Oryctolagus cuniculus: one gene and its partners. The protein of the gene in region 3 interacts with the protein of the main gene of each other region in a biochemical or structural test. Links are inferred from orthologs where the notes say so. Each region holds a gene or a part of one and is shown on either strand. Other genes may lie near its edges.

Evidence for each region.
Region 1: the proteins of MTA1 (region 3) and ESR1 form a complex in vitro, tested with the Homo sapiens proteins (4 studies listed by BioGRID). The link is inferred for Oryctolagus cuniculus from reciprocal best matches to the Homo sapiens genes MTA1 and ESR1.
Region 2: the proteins of MTA1 (region 3) and HIF1A form a complex in vitro, tested with the Homo sapiens proteins (2 studies listed by BioGRID). The link is inferred for Oryctolagus cuniculus from reciprocal best matches to the Homo sapiens genes MTA1 and HIF1A.
Region 4: the proteins of MTA1 (region 3) and ZEB2 form a complex in vitro, tested with the Homo sapiens proteins (2 studies listed by BioGRID and IntAct). The link is inferred for Oryctolagus cuniculus from reciprocal best matches to the Homo sapiens genes MTA1 and ZEB2.

What each region holds. Positions count from the first base shown.
Region 1 is NC_091436.1:15,939,240-15,943,840, forward strand, and holds part of ESR1 (estrogen receptor), read right to left. Parts: intron 3,896-4,601; coding exon 3,560-3,895; intron 1-3,559.
Region 2 is NC_091451.1:8,816,341-8,821,521, forward strand, and holds the start of HIF1A (hypoxia-inducible factor 1-alpha), read right to left. Parts: upstream 3,310-5,181; 5' UTR 3,211-3,309; coding exon 3,176-3,210; intron 1-3,175.
Region 3 is NC_091451.1:47,289,181-47,293,781, reverse strand, and holds part of MTA1 (metastasis-associated protein MTA1), read right to left. Parts: intron 4,469-4,601; coding exon 4,418-4,468; intron 4,024-4,417; coding exon 3,894-4,023; intron 3,362-3,893; coding exon 3,298-3,361; intron 1,167-3,297; coding exon 1,049-1,166; intron 1-1,048. UniProt on the Homo sapiens protein: Transcriptional coregulator which can act as both a transcriptional corepressor and coactivator. Acts as a component of the histone deacetylase NuRD complex which participates in the remodeling of chromatin.
Region 4 is NC_091434.1:97,911,798-97,917,017, reverse strand, and holds the start of ZEB2 (zinc finger E-box-binding homeobox 2), read right to left. Parts: upstream 3,205-5,220; 5' UTR 3,155-3,204; coding exon 3,137-3,154; exon of another isoform or gene 3,090-3,136; intron 2,898-3,089; coding exon 2,756-2,897; intron 1-2,755. UniProt on the Homo sapiens protein: Transcriptional inhibitor that binds to DNA sequence 5'-CACCT-3' in different promoters. Represses transcription of E-cadherin. Represses expression of MEOX2.

The DNA of each region.
Region 1 (4,601 bases), on a different chromosome or scaffold from region 3:
CTCAGTTCATTGCTAATGATAGATGAGGATGCTATATTAGAGGCAGGGAAGCTAATTTCTGGATCCCTGGGAAGACAGTCACACACTATCAGAGATACCACAGAAACTTCTGAGAAACCTGAGCTTGGAGATGGTTGCAGGCATGTCCAGAAAAAGTGGATCCTGGGTCCATGGCCAACACTGAGCAAGGAAGGAATCTAAGGTAAAATGGTGTGGAGCTGGGGATTAGGGACGCCCCTAGCACTGGATCAAGAGGGCATTGGTAGGAAAGGGGAAGGAAAAGGTTGTTTGGCTTGCCACTAACAGAAAGGAAGTGGCGAAGGTAGCACATCTCCAGCTCACCCAGCCAATTTCCCTCCCAGTCCTGGGCTCAACCCTCCATGAGGCAATAACAAGCCCAGGACTAGACTTCTCCTCAAATCTTGACTTAAATATAGACCCAGGACACAAATTTGACAAATGGAGTGCCTTTTGAACTATGTAAAATTATAGTGAACTTTGAGAAACACTTAATTTTTAACAATTCGAAGTGACATTTTGGTGACGCATTTTGAGCTCCTGCTGAAAAAAATCAGATGTATTTCATTAACACCAGAACTAAGAATCCACCACTCAATGATGCAGAAATTAAAGATGAAACGCTTTTGGCAGTCATAGTGTTTTTCCTTATTTGAGCCTCAGTTAAATGAGTTAACATTTACTCACTAGATTCACTATGTGTAAGATAATAATAAATTAAGATTTCATAACTTGATTGCTTAATACTAAATCTCCAACCACAGATTATAAAATGCCAATACACATAGATTTCAAAGCAAACTGAAAAGAGAAAAGCCTTCTCTACAACTAAATATCAAGGAGTAAATATACAACACAGGCTACTTAAAAATCCTTCTCGGAGCTGGCTGAGTAAATTTTATGTTTCTTGTTGCCTCTGTGGTTTATAAATCACAAAAGGAAAAAAATAAGTTCTTACTTCTGTCTTTGTTCAGATCTTACACATGTACTTTACAGAGGAGCTTGTCTATCATAATGTGATGGTATTATGAATGATTATGTTTTATGATTGTATTATGCTCTCCATATCTAAATTCTTAGGAAAGAGAAATATCAAGTAAAGACATAACTTGCAAACATCAAGAGAAAGGAAAATTCAACTTATAATCATGTTTACAATTCTGACAATATTGTTAGTAAAAAACATGGTCTATGACTACTATACTGGTTGCTCAAAAGTGTTAATTAAATTTTGTCATTTAAAATTAAATTAATTCAAAACTTCAGTTCAATTCACAGTCATCCTAAGAATTATCCCAATATCCTCTGCAGGTTTTTGTGTCATTTAGCTAATCACAGGGACTTTTAGAACTGGCTTCCTTGTTATTCTTCTTGCCAATGATATATTTCATTCCCTCCTCTACAAGTTGCTATTATAATTATCAAATGATTACCACAAAAATATAATATTGTCTATATTAGATTTTATTGAAAGCTATTTGTTTAAATAACAGAGGGTATTTGGATCTATGTGGCTTTGTCAAATGTTCTGAAGACATTCTTCTTCATAGTCCTTGCAGAAAACATTTTTCTTTCCTCATTTTTCATCTTTTTTAAATCAATGGCAAGTTTTAATTTGCTTGGTCAGGAAAGAAGTCTTTTGATGTTCAACAGCTGTATTTCAGTGGCACACACACATACACACACACACATACAAACATGTATATATATATAACTGAATTTTCATCTTTATAGTTATCCAAATCAACAAATAACAAGATGTAATTTGGTCCAAGGATTTTTGAATCATCCAGGTCTTTTAAATGAACGCCATGATGTTCTATAGAATTTATTTCCATAAATTTGTCTAGTTCTGGGCTTATCAGTAGGATGGTTATGCCTGGTTATTATTTCTTCCTTCCCTGATTTATGTCTCCACTTTTATTCCTGAATTCAGAAGATAATTGTCATGAATTCTTTCATCCACTAGTAATGTATTTTAACTTACTTTGAGTTACTTCAAATGCTCTTCAAAGTTTTATAATTATAATAATAGCAGGATGGGAATCTACTGATAAGTATGAAAAATGTAATCTTGTATTCAGCAGGCCAAGATTTCATGAGGGAAAAATATATGCTAACAGGACAATAAAACTTAACAGTAACCACACTTGGCTGTCAGGGATGTGGCCATTAGTTTTTTTCTTTGCTTGTTTCTCTTCTCCCAAAGGATAAAAACAAGAGCATAGCAAATATAAAGGAAAAAAATCTATAGCCATATTAAGTTTAGATCCCAATATGTGCATTTAATGTATCTGCTTCGTTAAGAATGCTAGAACATGTAGGTGAACGAGGAAACTCTTAAGCCAAAAAATGACCAGGAGTTTTTGTTTGCCAGTTGGACTGACTTTGAAAACCCAAATTTGCCCATTATTACCCATGCTTTCAAGCAACCCAATATCCACCACTCCATTCACATATGCAGATGCCTTCCAACAAGTGGATCTCAGACCTGGTCTCCCACCCCACCCCCATTTAAAGGGCTGCATGCTTATATCTTGGTTTATAAAAAACACAGGTGAGAATCTCTGAGGCCAGACATATATTCACTTGGTCTATCTCATATCAGTGACTCTTGAAGTACAAACACCATACTCTATATCTTTCGGTTCACTTAAAATATCCATTAATTAAAGGCAATAGTTTCACTCATGAAAATGAATCAAATGAGCAAATCTCTATATAAATCCATCTCTCACTTGCCCCGTGAGTCCAGAAAAGAGATTTAACTTCCTCCCACTTGGTTTTATCCTTATTAATTCCTGAATGGGTATACTGGGCTGTGGAGAAGGTCATTTCCTAGTCTTGTTTCCATAATAACTAGAGTTATTCTCTCCGATCAACAAGAACAGCAGTCAAGTTTTACAGAAACACCACTTCTGAGAAAAATCAATGTGAGGACAAAAGCATCACTTGAACCATTGTGTCTTTGTACCAGCTCTTCTCTAGGATAAAACTCTAATTGATTTTTCTATTTTAGTTCCCTTTCTCCTAAAATACTAAGTAAAAACCATGTTAGATAAATAATTGGCACAGTTCATAAACCTATCATTATTGCCTTAGTCCACAGAAAAGATTTTAAAGGTAAAATGCTTATTAGTAATTGAAGTATTTTGGAAAAATAGTTCTCAATATTTAAAAAATGTTGTGGCTCATTTAATGTTAAACTCTTCTGAAAAACTGTGAACATATGATAGTGAATGTATTTATCATGTAGGGTCCACCTTAAATCTTTTTGGCAAATACTCTGGGTTGAAAATACTTAAATTATGTCAAAGTAATGCTTTTTAACTGTCTATATTTTGATTATAAAAGATTGTTTTCTGATTTCTAAGAGAATCACAGTGCACTGATATTAAATATTAAGAAATTATGATGCAGCCTTGAAATCAATGGAATAGTAAGGAATTACTTCCTTGTCTCCTACAGTTTCTCCCATGCCATCACAACCAATCCTTGAAAAGCTGTTGAATCAAAATAAAAATGAACTTAGTCTTCTTACCTGGAACCCTCTTTGCCCAGTTGATCATGTGAACTAGCTCTCTGTCTGCCAAGTTGGTCAGTAGGCCCATCATCGAGGCCTCACTGAAGGGTCTGGTAGGGTCGTACTCAGAATAGATGATGGGGGGCTCAGCTTCCAACAAGGCACTGACCATCTGATCGGCCGTCAGAGACAAGGCTGGGCTATTCTTCTTAGTGTGCTTGATCAACAGAGGGCTTGGCCAGAGGTTGGCAGCCCTCATGTCTCCAGGGGGCCCTGTTTCATTCCTGCCTTCCCCATCATCTCTCTGGCGCTTGTGTTTCAACATTCTCCCTCCTCTTCGGTCTTTCCGTATACCTGAAAACATGAATGAAAATATTAGTTTCGCTTTTTTTCCACAGAAACTTTTATACAAAAACCAACTTCAAAGATAATATCTTTTTATTTCACTTAAATAAATGCTTAAGGTTTAACAACTGGCTCTCCAAAAGAAAAAAAAAAGGAGTTTGGATTTGTAGCTTTTGCCAGTCTCCATGGTGTAAATATTATCACCATAACAAACTTCAGGACACTTCTCTGGAGTCAGGTAGCGTAGAAAACTCCTGAAATTTAGTAGCAGGTTTGGTGAACCATTAGAATAGAATCTGGCTCTGACATACCAGTGTGTGTGTGTGTGTGTGTGTGTGTGTTTAATAGATGCTATAAAATAAAATTATAATAGTTATTATTGGGGGGTGGCGCTGTGGCACAGTGGGTTAACGCCCTGGCCTGAGGTGCTGGCATTCCATATGGACGCCGGTTCAAGACCCAGCTGCTCCACTTCTGATCCAGCTCTCTGCTATTCCCTAGGAAAGCAGTAGAAGATGGCCTAAGTCCTTGGGCCCCTGCACCCACTTGGGAAACCCAGAAGAAGCTCCTGGCTCCTGGCTTCAGATTGGCGCAGCTCCAGCCATTGCGACCAATTAGGGAGTGGCCCAGTGGATGGAAGACCGACCTCCCTCTCTCCCTCCCTCCCTCTCTCTCTGCCTCTCATCTCTATGTGTAACTCTGACTTACAAATAAA
Region 2 (5,181 bases), about 38 Mb from region 3:
ATGTTTGATAAAACACATACATGTGCAAGTGTACATTAATATACACTTCCAAAAATCACAAAAATCAGATCAAAAGTACTGCCCTTAAGCCTTGTCTTGAAATGGAAGCCAATAGCCTTAACTCTAGAGAAATTCATAAGAAAAGGAGTTTTCTTTATGGGTGCTTTACTGAGAGTATTTTTATCAACTATCTTTAACAAGGATTAATATTTATAAAACCATATACTCTAAATTTTGGCATCAAGACAAAAAACGTTGCTGCCAGTGCTACAACTGCAGTGCCCTACTGGAATGAACAGTATGACCTGTATATGTGTTATGACTGCAGGGTCCAGAGTAAATTCAAAATGGCGCATATGGGGAGAAAACACAGGGTGAGAAGCTGTAGAGTGCAGGGCAGATGTTCAAGAAAAGCAACTGATGCTAGATGCCAATGTAGCCCTGGAGGTGCTGTTTTAACAGGAAAGAACTCTTTTCAAGATCCAAATTGAATGTTAGTTTTTTCATTTTTTGGAGATACAGAAAAGATGCATGAAGACAGAAGAGAAACTGAAAGAAATATTTGGAAGAACTTACAAAAAGCATTTTAAGGGTGGTGGAAGTTCAAACTTAAAGCTTAAACAGGTAACATTTACTAGGAAGTACACAAACTGTTACCAAGACTCCCCCATTCCCGACCCTGGGCTAAGTGTTCTACATGCATGATCTCATTTCCCATACATATTAACTGTTAAGATGGCTGCTTCTTATCATCAAAAGGAAAAGTTAGGCATGGACGCATTCAGGACTTGCCCAATTCACAAGTGGAAAGGCTGGCACTCTAACTCAGAGATTCAGGCCTCCAGCTTCTACACTCTTCATCTCTAGCCCTGCTGCTGTTATAAACAAGTCAAACTGCAACAACAAAAGTTTACTAATAAATGACTCTTAGTGGCCAAGGTTAAAAAAGAAAATTTAGAAATGTTTATTCTCAGAGATTTCACTACAATGCTCCAGTAATTATTTGTTTTGGAAAACTCTGAAGGAACCTGACCTGAAGCCTAAAAACAGAACCTCCTGCCATTCCTTTTGAATCTAAAAACCCCTATTATCCTTGTGCTCTCAGTAAGTCCAGCACCTACAACTAAGGAATCAACATGAAACTCCCTGTTAAATCTATTACAACCACACCACTCTGCTCTGATTTCTTTCAATTCTGATTTTCAGCTGCCTTGTCCTCCTCTAAAACTGGGAAAATTCCAAGAAGAAAATCTCCACCTCAATCTGTTACCTTTCAAAAACTTGAAGAAATATTAGTCAGGAAAGGGCATTTTTAATTAACATCATCCAAAAGTTGCTGAGTAATCACTATTTACTGTTTAACTTAAAATTTCAGTTATATTAAGAATCTCCATATTAAGTGTTACGACTACATTCGATCCCAGGTGGTTAAGTTTTCAAATGAGAAAATTTTGAAAATAACAATGGGAATGGGGAAAACCAAAGAATTCATTTAGCGCTGGGGCTGGTGCGCAGTAGTTGCTAATTTATTCACTCACTTATTTTACAGTGGCTTCTGGTATTAACTGAAGAATAGCAAAGAAGAAATCAGTAAAGTATTACATATAAAAAGGAAGTGACTGGTACACAACCTAATGCATTGTGGTAACTATGATTCAGTATATAATAAGGACGGAAAATTGGCACTACACAGAGGTAATCTGCCTTTGGTTTACAATATAGCAGCCTCTTCATTTCATCAAAAACACTGTAATCACTTCTGCAAAATTAATTGCAATTAATTCCTGGTTAACTCTTGAAATTAAATCTAGACTTGTGTGCTCATGTTTTAAATTGTGTAAGTGCTCTCTCCCCGGTGTATATAAACTGAGAATTTTACATTCTATTGAATAGGGACCAAGATAAAGAATCTACAAAACAGCAAGGATATAAACAAGTTTATCTTCCGCTCATACTGATTAGAGAAGTTAATCTCTCCCATAAGAGTGGAAGGACTTAACAGTAAAGCCAGCCTACGTTACTACTCCTACTATATAAATCCTCAATTCCTTAAAATAATTTCCTCAACGGTGAAAATACCAAAGTGGAGAAAATAGGGAGGGGGGTACTGTAAATACCACGGGTTCCACCATTCTTAATCTTTCTATAATGTACCCCTCTTACACTTCACGCTGTTCAATAAACTTGCTTTAAGTCCCAACACAATCTGGATATGTGCTGATGGTTTCCTTCAAATATATTAAAATATCAGGAAAACGAGACAGTTCTGAAAAAAAAAAAATCCTCCAACACTTTAGTGTTGCATTTCGTTTGCTCCGGTCATCTACTTCGCTTTTCAACCTCACTGACACTGTCTGCCTAAATCGAAGCCGCCCGTTACATTTTCACCAAGATATTTTCGGGAATGAATGAGGCACGGATTCCTGCTCATCGTCTGGGCTCCCTGGATCCCAAGTCTCCACTTCCCAAGTTCCCGCTACAGCCTGGCGATGTGCCCCCCAATTCCCGTTACTCCGACTCCCAAGTCTGGGCAAGTTTTTCCAGCCGATTAAAACAACAAAACGAAAAACAAAACCTGCACGTGCAAACTAAAAAGTTAGCATCCGAAGGCCGCCGCGGCCAATCCCCCCACCACGGCACAAAGGCAGCGACACCCGCCGCGGCGGGACCGCCGCAAGGGCCAGCCCAGCCGCGGCCGCCGGGGCCCCGCACCCGCCGGCGAGCCGCGGCCAGCGTGCGGGGCGCCCGGCCCGCGCCTTCCCCGCCACCGGGAGGGAGCGGAAGCTCCGGGTGCGAGCGGCGGCGCCGAGCTGCGGGCTCGGCTTCCAGGCTGGGGCGAAGTCCCCTCCGGACGGGGCCGCGCCGCAAGGCTGGGGCTCCGCGGCGGGCGCGGGGGGCGGCGCGAGGACCCCCGCAGCCCCGGCTGGGGGCGGCGGCGGCGGCGGCGTGCAGACCCCCGGCCCCCTGGAAGCACTTTCGAGGCGTCTCCCACCCCCCACGACAAGATGGCGACGTGGACAGCGGGGGAGCCCGGCCGGCGAGGTTGGGGGAAAGAGAGGGGAGGGGAGAGGAGGCAGAAACAACAAAAAAAAAGGCCGGGCGACCCCCGCCCGCCCAGCGACCCACCCCGGGAGCGCCGCGGCCCGGCGGGCGGGCGGGCGGGGAAGGGGCTTACTTTTTCTTGTCGTTCGCGCCGCCGGCGCCCTCCATGGCGATTCGGTCTCCGCGATGCCTTCCCGGCCGGCGGCCCCCAGGCTCGCTCCGGCCTAAGCGCCGGCTCCCTGCACACGCGGAGAGAGCAGAGCAAGTCCGGGTGGGGGCGGCGGCGGGGGAGGGGTGCGAGGCGGGAAGCTCCTCGCAGAGCAGAGCGGGGCGGCGAGCGCGGAGTCCGGCGCGAGCCTCCGCGCAGGCTGCTTGTCACGGCCCGGCCCGACGCGCTGGGCCCACTCGGCAGCGAGGACGGTCCTCGCGTCCCCTCAGACGAGGCGGCTCTGCGCTCGGCGGAGCTGAGGCAGCGGGCAGGGGGCGGGCAAGGGCGGAGGCGCGCCCGGCCGCGCGGGGAGGGGAGGGGCGGGGCGGGAGCGCGCGCCCCCGCCCCTCGCCTGCCCGCCGAGCCCAGCGCGCGCGCGCGCGCCCCCGCAGGCCCGCCTCACCTGAGGGGGAGGCGGGCTGCTCGGGAGCCAATGGCGAGCGACGCAGGCGGCCAGTGCCCACCCCAGCCCACGTCGCTCTCAGCCAATCCGGAGGCGCTCAGCTGAGGCACAGCTGGGACGCGCCGCGGCGCTCACGTGCCCGTCTGTGTGCGGCCGGGGCGGAGAGAAAGGCGTTGGGGGGTGCGTCTGCGCCGGGACTAGGGGGCACCCAGCGCCTGCCGCTGGGGACGGCGGCGGCGGGCTTGCGGGAGGCGCTGCTGAGGGGAGTTGGCGGCTGCCCGGGCCCGAGGTTGCATCACGTTTTCCCGCTCCCGCGCTCCCCTCAGGCGGCGTAGCCGAGTTCCCTGTGGGAAAGCGCAGCCCTGGCGGCTTGGGCGCGAGCCCCCCGGGTCTCCCCGCTCGGACGCGTTGCGGCGCGGCCTTCCTGCCAGGCTGCCCGCGCTCTGCCGCACGGCACGGGGGACCCCGCGGGGCCCCTGAGGCGTTCTGTCGCGAACTTGTTTAAGTTAATGCCAGGGAAAACCTCACAGACCCGTTGTTGCACGCCTCTCTCCGAGGAAGGAAGGTGTGAAGTTACTGTAGAAACGGCTTTCAGAAGCGAGAATATATAAACCTGCATTTCAGGGAGGGTCGGAAAAATGGCTTTAGGCACACTTTTCTTTGTGCTTTCTTAGCGCTTTTGCAAGACGATCTTGCGTGGATTCAGAAGAGTCTCCTTGAGTTGCGTTCGCGGTGTAGACCGAGTCCGGAACCCAGGCTGCCTCCGGGGCATGGGCCAGAGCCCGCCGGGTTGGAAGGAACCGGGCACGACGGTGCTGGCTAGCACTGCCTGTTTGCTGACAGGACTGCGAGTTACGGAACAAAACTTAAGCACTTTTTTGTCTTTAGAACCATACATTTCAAGCCTCTCAAGTCTTTAAAAAAAAAAAAAACATATTTTGAGCTCCACAAAGAGCCACTGCGTATCCCTCCCCGGTGGACATCAGGGTATTTTACTGCACCTTTGCCTGGTTGTCACAGTCTAACTCTGCGCTGGTTGTTGCGTGATGTGGATATCTGCCTGTGGAGGATTTCAAGTGTGTGAATCACCAGCCCGGCTAACACAGCGTCTGACCCTGCTAGGAGAAGCCACTTGAACTGGTCAGTAGACCCATAAGGATTGATGCTAATGCTATTTTTGTTTTTTCAGATTGACAGCACTAAATGCTATGTGTTATCCAGAACAACCATGGGGTATGCCTGGAAAAAAAAATCATAGTTACTTATGATTTCTTTTTTTAAGTAGGGAAAGAATAACTTAAATTACAAATGTTTTAACATTCTGAAAATATGGTGTTGAGAACGCTGGCCTCAGAATCTAGAGTGAGTTTGCATACAGACTCTGACACGGCCTAGCAAATCAGCTAACCTCTGTACCTCAGTTTGCTCATTGTAAGATGGGGATTATAATAGCATATATGCCACAGAACTCCGGACTATTGACACAATACGTGACCAGTAGCTGGTACATAGTGACTGATGATTAGCT
Region 3 (4,601 bases):
CATCATGGGTGCATCTCCTTCCTCTGCCCACTGAGACCTCTGTTGGCGCCAGGACTCCCAGGGCCTCAGGCCGACCCTGCAGGGCGGCAGCAGCACAGCCCAGCCCTCGCCGCTGGCCAGGCACAAGCACGGTTTTGCATCCCTTCAACAGGATGTGGCTCAAGGAGCTGTGGAAGGTTCTAGAAGCCTCGTTCCTGCCAGCCAGGCCAATGCCCCTTGGACTAGCGGCCCATGAGGTTCAGGAGGCGGTGGGGCTGCAGAGAGGCAGGAGGCCCCTCCCTCGTGGCTGCGGCTCAGGCTCAGGCCTTCTGTGGTCAGGAAGGGGTCCTGGGGGTGGCTGCTCCACGGTCTCTGGGGAGCCCCAGCACCCTCCTGACCAGCACGCAAGCAGCCGAGCCCAGGCCCTCGGGTCAGGGCGTCGCCACGCAGTTCTCCCCAGGTGGGAGCTGGCGTGGGTTTCACGGTGGACGTGGCTGCCCAGGCTCTGCACCAGGCCTGCAGCTCAGGAAGAGACCAAGCAGTGAGCCCAGCAGGCAAGGATGCTGCCGGGGACGGGGCTGGGGCCGGGGTCCCCAGGCTGGCGAGGGCGGGCCCTGTGCACAGGGACTTGAGGGAACCCTTCACCGGCCACTCTGGGCCATGGTGCAGCATCCCAGCCCTGCTGCACAGCCAACACACCGCAAGCAGCCAGCCCACGAGAGCCAGGTCCCGGCCACGTGCACAGAAACAGGAGGCGGAAGTGCTGGAGGAGGGAGCTGGAGACCAGAGGGACGAGGCCCTAGACCCTCGAGCCCAGTCCCCTGGTGCCAGCCAAGGTGCCCCAGGCCCTTCCAGGCTCCACAGCTGCCCAACGAGACACAGGATGGCAGGTGATGGCTCAAGTACTGGGGTCCCTCCCGGCACCTACAGGTGCTTGGGGAGCGACCCACCCACCAGCACCTCACTCCCTGTCTCCTCGTTTCTTAGGGAGACAAACTCCTGCCATGCAGGACAGTCCAGGGCCACACTCTGCCCCGGCTCCTGCCGCGGGCCCCACCCTGCGCCCTACCTTCCTTCAGCAGGTCAGTGATGTCGGCCTGGTACCGGTTTCCCACTCGAATCTCTCCTTTGTCCGCCAGGAGGGTCTTCTGCTGGGGGTCGTAGACCAGCGAGTAGAAGAAGAAATCCTGAAACAGCACACACAGGAGCCCCTGCTTGGTCTGTGGGGCCCACAGCTGGGAGCCCCACCCTCGCCTGGGGAACTCTCTGCCCCCCGACACGGGGCAGGGTGTGGAGGGCGCGTCAGGCAAGAGATCCATGCACAAAGCAGGCGCAGGCACGGCACGGCACGGCACGGCAGCTGGGACGCCACCCCACACCCGGCTCAAGCCCAGCTTCCTGACGCACCCTGGGGCAGCAGTGATGGCTCAGGGAACTGGGTCCCACCCGCTGTGGGAGGCCTGGACACAGCACCCCCCATGGGAGGCCTGGACACAGCACCCCCCATGGGAGGCCTGGACTGAGCACCCCCGTGGGAGGCCTGGACACAGCACTCCCCATGGGAGGCCTGGACTGAGCACCCTCGGGTGAGGCCTGGACACAGCACCCCTGTGGGAGGCCTGGACACAGCACCCCCCGTGGGAGGCCTGGACACAGCACCCGTGGAAGGCCTGGACACAGCACCCCCGTGGGAGGCCTGGACACAGCACCCCCCATGGGAGGCCTGGACACAGCACTCCCCGTGGGAGGCCTGGACACAGCACCCCCCGTGGGAGGCCTGGACACAGCACCCCCGTGGGAGGCCTGGACTGAGCACCCCCGGGGGAGGCCTGGACACAGCACCCCCCGTGGGAGGCCTGGACACAGCACCCCCATTTGAGGCCTGGACACAGCACCCCCCGTGGAAGGCCTGGACACAGCACCCCCCGTGGGAGGCCTGGACACAGCACCCCCCGGGGGAGGCCTGGACACAGCACCCCCGTGGGAGGCCTGGACACAGCACCCCCGTGGGAGGCCTGGACACAGCACCCCCGGGGGAGGCCTGGACACAGCACCCCCATGGGAGGCCTGGACACAGCACCCCCGGGGGAGGCCTGGACACAGCACCCCCGTGGGAGGCCTGGACTGAGCTCCTGGCTCTCGCAGGCATCTAAGGAGTGAACCAGCAGACAGAACCAGTCCTGGCTGCCCCACCTCCGGTCCAGCTCCCTGCCAGACGAAGTCCCAGGCCCTGGCTTCGGCCTGACCCAGCCCTGGCTGTCGTGGCCATATGGGGAGTGAACCAGCAGATGGAAGACCTCTCTGTCTCTCTAACTCCACCTTTCAAATAAATCTTTTTTTTTTTTTTTAATTAAATAAAAGGAAGGAGGGAAGGCAAAGCAAGAAGCGCAGTAGTGACGGCGCAGGCGCAGGCGCAGGGTGTGCTCGGGCTGCAGGGTGCCAGTCAGCGGCTCGGGGAGGCCTGATGACGGCCCTCGCTGCACCACGCGTCCCCGCTCAGCAGAGTGCTGAGTCGCCGGGTGAGAAACACGGAGTCCACCTCGGCCTGGCCGCCCTGGAACGCCTGCAACATGACCTGACCTGGTGACGGCTGCTGAGGCCACCACGTCAGCCGTCCATGGCGCTGCCGCCGCCTCTGCGCTCTCCCTGCACGGCTGCCCCACGCGAGGGCAGGGCTCCCAGCACTCAGCACGCATGAGCCAGCACTCGGACCTGCCCGGGCTGTCCTGACACGCTGACACGGCCATCGCCCGCCGGCCCCCGTTCACTGTCCTTGCTCCACGGATGCCTTTCTGCCACGTCCCCAGGGCACCCCACTGACCTCGCCTCTGGGCACGGCCGCCCACGCACGCGTGGTCCCTGCTGGCACTCCTGTTTCTAGGCTTTGCACGTGTCACCCCGGGCTGCTGGACACAAGGCCCTCAGGCCACACGTTCAGCCCAGACAGGCAGAGGCCTGGGAGAGGCTAAGCGCTGGGCCTGCCCCTTACCTGCCCCTAGGTGCTGACCCACACCCTGGCTACTCCAGACTCTGTGTGCCTCAGAAAACCGTGCTGGTGAACTGCCCTGGGGACACCGGGCCGTCACCCAGGAGGTGATGTGGCGAGCAATCCCCACGGCTCACAGGTGCTCCAGTCACCTGCCTCAGGTGCCAGCTGTCCCAGGTCAGCAGGGGTGCAGGCAGCCAGTGCAGATCTGTCCACTGCCTGGGACCAGCTGGGCCTCCTGCACTGACCACGCCCCCTCAGGGAGGGCCTGGCCTTCTGTGGGTGCTGCAGGTGGGCAGGGCTGGACCTGCCCAAGCCAGGCTGAGTCTCACCTCCCGCTCCAGGTAGGACTTGAGGGACTCCGTCTCGTTCAGCAGCGTCACACTGCACTTGCCCCTGTGGAAGAGGAGGATGTGAGGGGAGGGGCAGGTGTGGGGGGCGGGGGCAGGTGTGCACCTACGGGGGGGCAGGTGTGTACATGATGCGGGGAGGGGCAGGTGTGTACCTGACGGGGGGGCAGAGGCAGATGTGCACCTACAGGGGAGGCAGGGGCAGGTGTGTACCCGATGGGGGGAGCAGGTGTGCACCTGACAGGAGGCAGAGGCAGGTATGCACCTATGGGGGGTCGGGGGCAGGTGTGTACCTGATGGGGGGCAGGGGCAGGTGTATACCTGACAGGGGGGCAGGGGCAGGTGTGTACCTGACAGGGGGGGCAGAGGCAGGTGTGTACCTGATGGGGGGGGCAGGTGTGCACCTGACGGGGGGGGGCGGAGGCAGGTGTGTACCTGATGGGGGGGCAGCGGCAGGTGTGTACTTGATGGGGGGGGCAGCGGCAGGTGTGTACCTGACGGGGGGAGGGGCAGGTGTGCACCTGACGGGGGGGCAGGGGCAGGTGTGCACCTGACGGGGGGGAGGGGCAGGTGTGCACCTGATGTGGGTGGCAGGCAGCGACTCCAGCTGCCGAGACAGGAACAGCTCTCGGTGCCGCAACTGGTGCCTGAGCCGGTCGGGCAGCTCCTCCTCCACTTCCGGGCTCTCGGCCTCCTCCTCTGCTTCCCCTGTAGGACAAGAGCCCTCAGGACCGCCCTGCCCACGCAGGGTGGCCCCAGGCCCCTGCCCACCCCAAGGAGCCACAGTGCCCGTTCTTGTCCAAGCACCCTGAAGGCTGGGCTCTCCCCTGGGCATCAGGGGAAGGAGGTGGGGACAGGAGTCCGGCGCTGGCAGAGGAAGCAGCAGGAAAGGAGGAAAGAGGAGCAGCTGCCAGGCGGCTGGCACCGCGGTGAGCAGCAGGTGCCACGTGTCCCAGCCCCGTGGCCAGGCGGCCCCGCATGGCCGCAGCAGGGCCCGCTGCAGCTGCAGGACACCCTCGGGGCCGGGCTGCATGCAGGCGGCCTGCGCAGGTTCCGCCCGGGGCAGGCGCGAGGATGCGTCCTCACAGAGGGCAGCTCTTACCTTCCTCGCCGCTGTCGGCGCCCGGTCCGGCTTTATGGCAGACTGACAAGGCTATGCAACAGACAGACAGCGCCCAGGCGGCAGTGTCAGCGCCGCGGCCACTCTCTCCCTGCCCGGGCCTGACCCAGGGCTGCGTGGCCAGGGGGCAGGGCGGACACGGGGGCCACAGGCCTCCTAGTGGGCC
Region 4 (5,220 bases), on a different chromosome or scaffold from region 3:
TTCCATGAATCCAAGAAGGAAGAAAAATCCACTCAGTTCAGATAAATCCTGGCAATTCCCAAAGGGAAAGGCATTGGATACATGTTTGATGAGAAAGAAATGAAAAGGGGGAGGAAAAACTCTTCTACCTGCTCCTCAAAGCCAGGACCTTTCTCAGTCCGATTAAACCCAATGAAAAATACTGACAAGTAACCAATTTACAGCATGTTTTCCCAGAGATTCTTTGGGGATAAAGACATGTAATAGTCAAAGTTAGAATAGCTATAAGCAATAGCCGGGCTTGATGTTCAGTGTGCAGGGGCTGGGATAAATGCCTTAAAACGTGCAATTCAACTTTCCACTTTGGAGTGTGGAAGCTTCTCCCAACCTGACGGCTGGGTGCAGGAGAAACGGTTTCTCAAGTCCAGGACTGAGCACCTCCCTGGTACACCATTCTACCAGTAAAGCCCCCTGACGGGCCTCCCACTCAGCTGGCACCCCCCAGGGGTTCCCAGGAAGCCAGAATCCCTCTACTTTCCCAGTCCTGAGCTCTGGCCTCACCACACTGCTGAAGCAAGACCAGTCATCGGTGGCAAAATCCCGAAGGGGGTGGAAAGAAGGCAGGGAGAACAGTCTTCCTTGCAAAAGAACACTTCTGGGAGCCTTGCTTTAAATCTCATTCTCTCTTTCTCTAAAAATGACTGTTTAACATAAGAAAAAAATGTCTCCTTGACACAAAGCTTTTGTTATCCAGTTGATCAGCAACGTGCTTTAGATACTTGTAAGAGGGGGGAAAACCCCACAACAGACATTGATTTTAGAAAATCAATAACCAACATTTAATAAAAGGAGCAGAGGAAACACGAGAGAGGAGAGGGGGACATTAGGTATAATTTTAATGTCTACTAAATTACCCAGAGATGGAGAAGGGGAGGTCTGCTGTGGAAAGACCACCTTAAATAATGCCAGACACCAGAATGAAGAAAAAAATTAGATTAAAAGATAGAGAGGGATGCACACTTAAAAAGCAGCAGCCTGAACTGAAAGCTTGGGGAAGCAGCTCCGAATCTATCATTGTACTTTTTTTTTTTTTTTTTGTCATACTAAGCCAAGCAAATAGATCAAAGACAGCACAAAGAGGAAAGGCAGGATAACGTAACAAACAGTTTCTGTCTAAAATTCCTCTATCACTCCCCCATATGGCTCGACACCTCCACCACAACAAGCAAAAGACACACACACACACACACACACGAGAGAGAGAGAGAGAGAGAGAGAGAGAGAGAGAGAAGGGAGAGAGAGAGAAGCATCATTTGTCTCTAATCAAAATTCTCCCGTCTTTGTGTTCCTCTCCCTCCAGCACCCGCTCTGCGCCCCCAGTCGCCCCCTCCCCACGCCGCGCTGCGCCGCGCGGGGCCAGGCCGGGGCGCGCACCCTCGTCTTCCCCTGAGGAAAGTTGCTTCAAGTGGGCCCCGGCGGGCCCGGCCAGGAGAGGGCTGGGATTGCAGGAGGCCGGGAGGCCGAGCGGGCGCTGCGACCCCGCGCCCAGCTCGGGAGCGTCTACGCGGCCCCGCGCTGGGGGATCCGGCTGCGAGCGAAGGGAACGAGAAGTTTCCTTTCCGAGTCTGGGCTGGCGCGGGTTCTCGTGTTTGTTTTGGGGGGTTGGTTTTTTTTTTTCTTTTTAAACTCAGTATCCTCCGTCAGCTTCCCCCCCCCCCCCCGCACCCTCGCTCGTCCCCAGCCCTTTCCCCTCCCCCAGGCGCCTTCGGCGCTCTTGCCAATCACTTTTCTCTTTTATTCCCACGATTTTGTTTGGGGTAATACCTAGGGGGGTCTCTCTCGCTCGCTCGCTCTCTCTCTCGCTCTCTCGTAGCTTCTCTGGCTCGCTCCACGAGGGACCTACTAAACTGTCACCCGCCTTGCATCTCCCACCCCCAGTGTGTGTCTGTGTGTCCCCTTCGCACCCCCATCGCCTTCCTCCTTCCTGACTCAGCCTGGATAACGGGCTCCTCCTGGCCATGTACAGACTGCCCGGAAAAAGTCTCGCAGCGCCCTGCGACTCCCCCAGCCCCCAGCGCGGGGACCAGCGCCTGCGGGAGAGGAGCCCCCCCCACACCGTGCCCGACCCGCACCGACCCCGGACCCCGAGCAGGGCCGGCCGAGTCCCTCCCACCCCACCCTGGGGTCCGGGCGCGCCGGACCGGGCCCCGCTGCCCGCGGACCGTTACTTGGCGCACGGAGAGGCGGCCGGGCGACTCCGGCAAGAAACTTTAAGCCTCACTAAGACGAAGCCCCGGGTCCTCTCTTCCGCCCTTGCGGTCCCGCTGCCACCCTCGCCTCCGCCCCGGGATCCTGCGCGACCTGGCGCCCAAGCCCCCGCCCTGCCCTCGCCGGACACTCCCGCAGCCGGGCCGGGGACCCAGCGGGCCGGCCGAGCGCGAGCGGAGCGGGAGGCGGAGGCGGAGGGAGGGCGGAGGCGGGAGCGCGAAGGGGCGCGGGGCTGGGGGCGCGGGACTGCGGCCGGACCCCGGCGCTCGGAGCCCCCCGGGCGCCCGACGCTCACTTTGCCCCGCACTTCCCCAACTCCCCCCGGGTCCGGCCGCCGCGCGCGCGCGCCGGGCTCCGGCGCCGGCCGCGGAGGGAGGCTCGCCCGCGAGCCCCGGGCGCAGCCGCCGCCGCCGCCGCCGCCTCGGTTCCTTTTCCCTTTCCCCCTCCTTCTCCCTGGGTCTGGAGCCGCGGAGTGGCCCGGAAAAGTTTGGTTCGGGCCGCTTCTTACCGTTTTTCCTCCTGGGATTGGCTTGTTTGCGCCTCTTGCACCGGGGGCCATCCGCCATGATCGGCTGCTTCATTGATAAGAGCGGATCAGATGGCAGTTCGCATGGACTCGGCGCCCTGCTTCGGCAGCACGCAGGCTCGATCTAGCAACCAAACACAGCGACAATGTGGGCATCGCCCGCGCCCATTGAAACGCGCGCGGGCCGCCCCGGGGAGCCGGGCCAGGGCCCCGGCGAGCACCCATCCGCGCCCCCCAACGCCAAAGCGAAACTTCGGCGGCCCCCTCCCCGCCCCCCGCCCCCAGCCGTGGCCCTGCGGCGCTTTGTGTTTGTTACTGTTTGGTGTGTTGCACCCGCGAGGGGATCACAGAGACAAGAATTACATCTTCGAAATGAGTCATAACTCCTGACCGTATGAGGGAATGCACACGGCGGTACAGTAAGACTGCCCGACCCAGGGCTAGGCGGACCCTTTGCTCCGAAAAGTGCTCAGCCCGGCTCGGGAACTTGGGGTGAGGCGAGGCTTTCTTTCGCTCTCATCTTTCCTCATTCTCTCCCACCGCCACCACCACCACCGCCACCGCCGCCACCACCGCCACCGCCACCGCCACCGCCACCCCCCCGCCCCCCGCCGCCCCATTTCCCGAGAGGAAAGAAAGAAACAAACAAACAACGCGAAACAGCCCCTGGATGAAGAACACTCGGGCAAATTGATAATAGTAATTATAGGAAGCCCACTCGCCCCGCGCCCCCTCCCCTTCCCTCTCCTCTCAGAGTTCAGCGAGGCACCGTCTCTTCCTCCCCCAGCCCTCTGCCCCCAAATTAAGATTTCCCATTCTCCGCCGCAATAAGAAATATAATTATAAGCCTCTTTGGACACCGTCCCTCCCCCCCCCACCCCGCCACTTTGACAATATTTGCTTAAGTATTTGCCCCCACCTCACTCGCACACATACTCCCCCACGCTGGTTCCCATAAATAGTTCCAGCAGAAATGTTGCTTTTTCTCCCCCCCCCCCCCCCCCAAGAAAGGAAAGAGAAAGTCCAACCAGCACGGCAAGACTTTTAAGCTGTCCTAAATGATCGTATCCTTTCTGGCTTCGAAACTTTTGTACCTAAAAATCGAGAGAGGCGCTGCATGTTTTCAGCTGAAACTGTCAAAACTTGGAGAAAGGGGACTCGGAGGCAGGCAGCAGAGGAGGAGAATCCTGAAACTCGGTGGAGGTTGGGAAGATGCTGTGCCTCCAGGATTAGTTTAAACAGGGGGCTATAAAAGATGTAACAGATGCAAACTGTAACACAAGGGCCATTAACCCTTTCTCTGCCGAGCACACTCGGTCCCCACGCCCCGCACCTATTGTCTCCTGTGCGAGCAGCTTTGCGGAAAACCTGGAAAGTGAGTATCAGTTTCCACACGTTTGCTGAGAGGGGAGGGGGGGTGCGGAGAGAAGGGGAAGTGGATGTTTCAGAAAGCACCTTAAATTTACCTAAGCATATACAGTAGGAGACGTTTCATTGAAGTTTGACACATTTTATCATTTCTTGCCTGTCCTGTTGAGTTGAAATTGGGGTGAGGGTGGGGGAGAGGAATCCTGAAATAAAGAAATGGTCACACAAGTGTCTGGGACCAAGCAGCTGGCCTGTCTGTATTCATGCTGAGACTTACACGCGATTGAATATAAATACATGTTTAATAAAGTAAGTTGTTAGCTTTATGAGCATGGGTGTGTGAGGGAGAGACAGGGCATTTGTGCTATAAACTTTATCTTTGCCTGTTATTCCTAACTCTGGAGTTAGCAATCGTGCCCTCCTCATTACAGGAGGAGCATGTAAAATATATGAGAAGGTGGAAGATAAACACATTCATGTTCGCAGGGCTCACCACTCTTCCTGGGAACTCCTGCTATCTCTCCCTCGACTTTCCAGTGCCAAAGTGTAGAATGGGATATATGTGTGTATGTGTGTCTCCTATTAAATCTATGGCTATGAGACTTTGCCATTTAAAATACAATTTCAAAAGTTAGGCTTATTTAAAACCCAGATATCCTGAAGTACTTTTCTTCCCAGCTGTAGTGAGCCCCCCCCTTCCACTTTGGTAAAGGACTCAAGTTCCATGAGGACTTTCACTTCTTTATTTATTATCACAGAAGTGAGGTGTTACTTCACACACATACACACACACAGAATGAAATAAAGAAATGAAACTCGCTAAGCAGACAAAAACAGGCAACTTTCTGCTTAGAAAACAGCCTTCCCCGGTGGGAGAGGCAGCACTGCCATGTCTAACAGCAAGACTGGCCCCCGAAATTTGGTAGGTTTGCATCGATCAAGTTTTGTAATTATTAACAGGTATTTGCCAAGTTTTAATTACTGACTATAATGATTTGGAAGTAGATGCAAAAATACAGCAGAAGCTTTCCCTTGGACGAGTTTTTATTTCAGCCATACAGTTCCCCAAAAAAACTTTT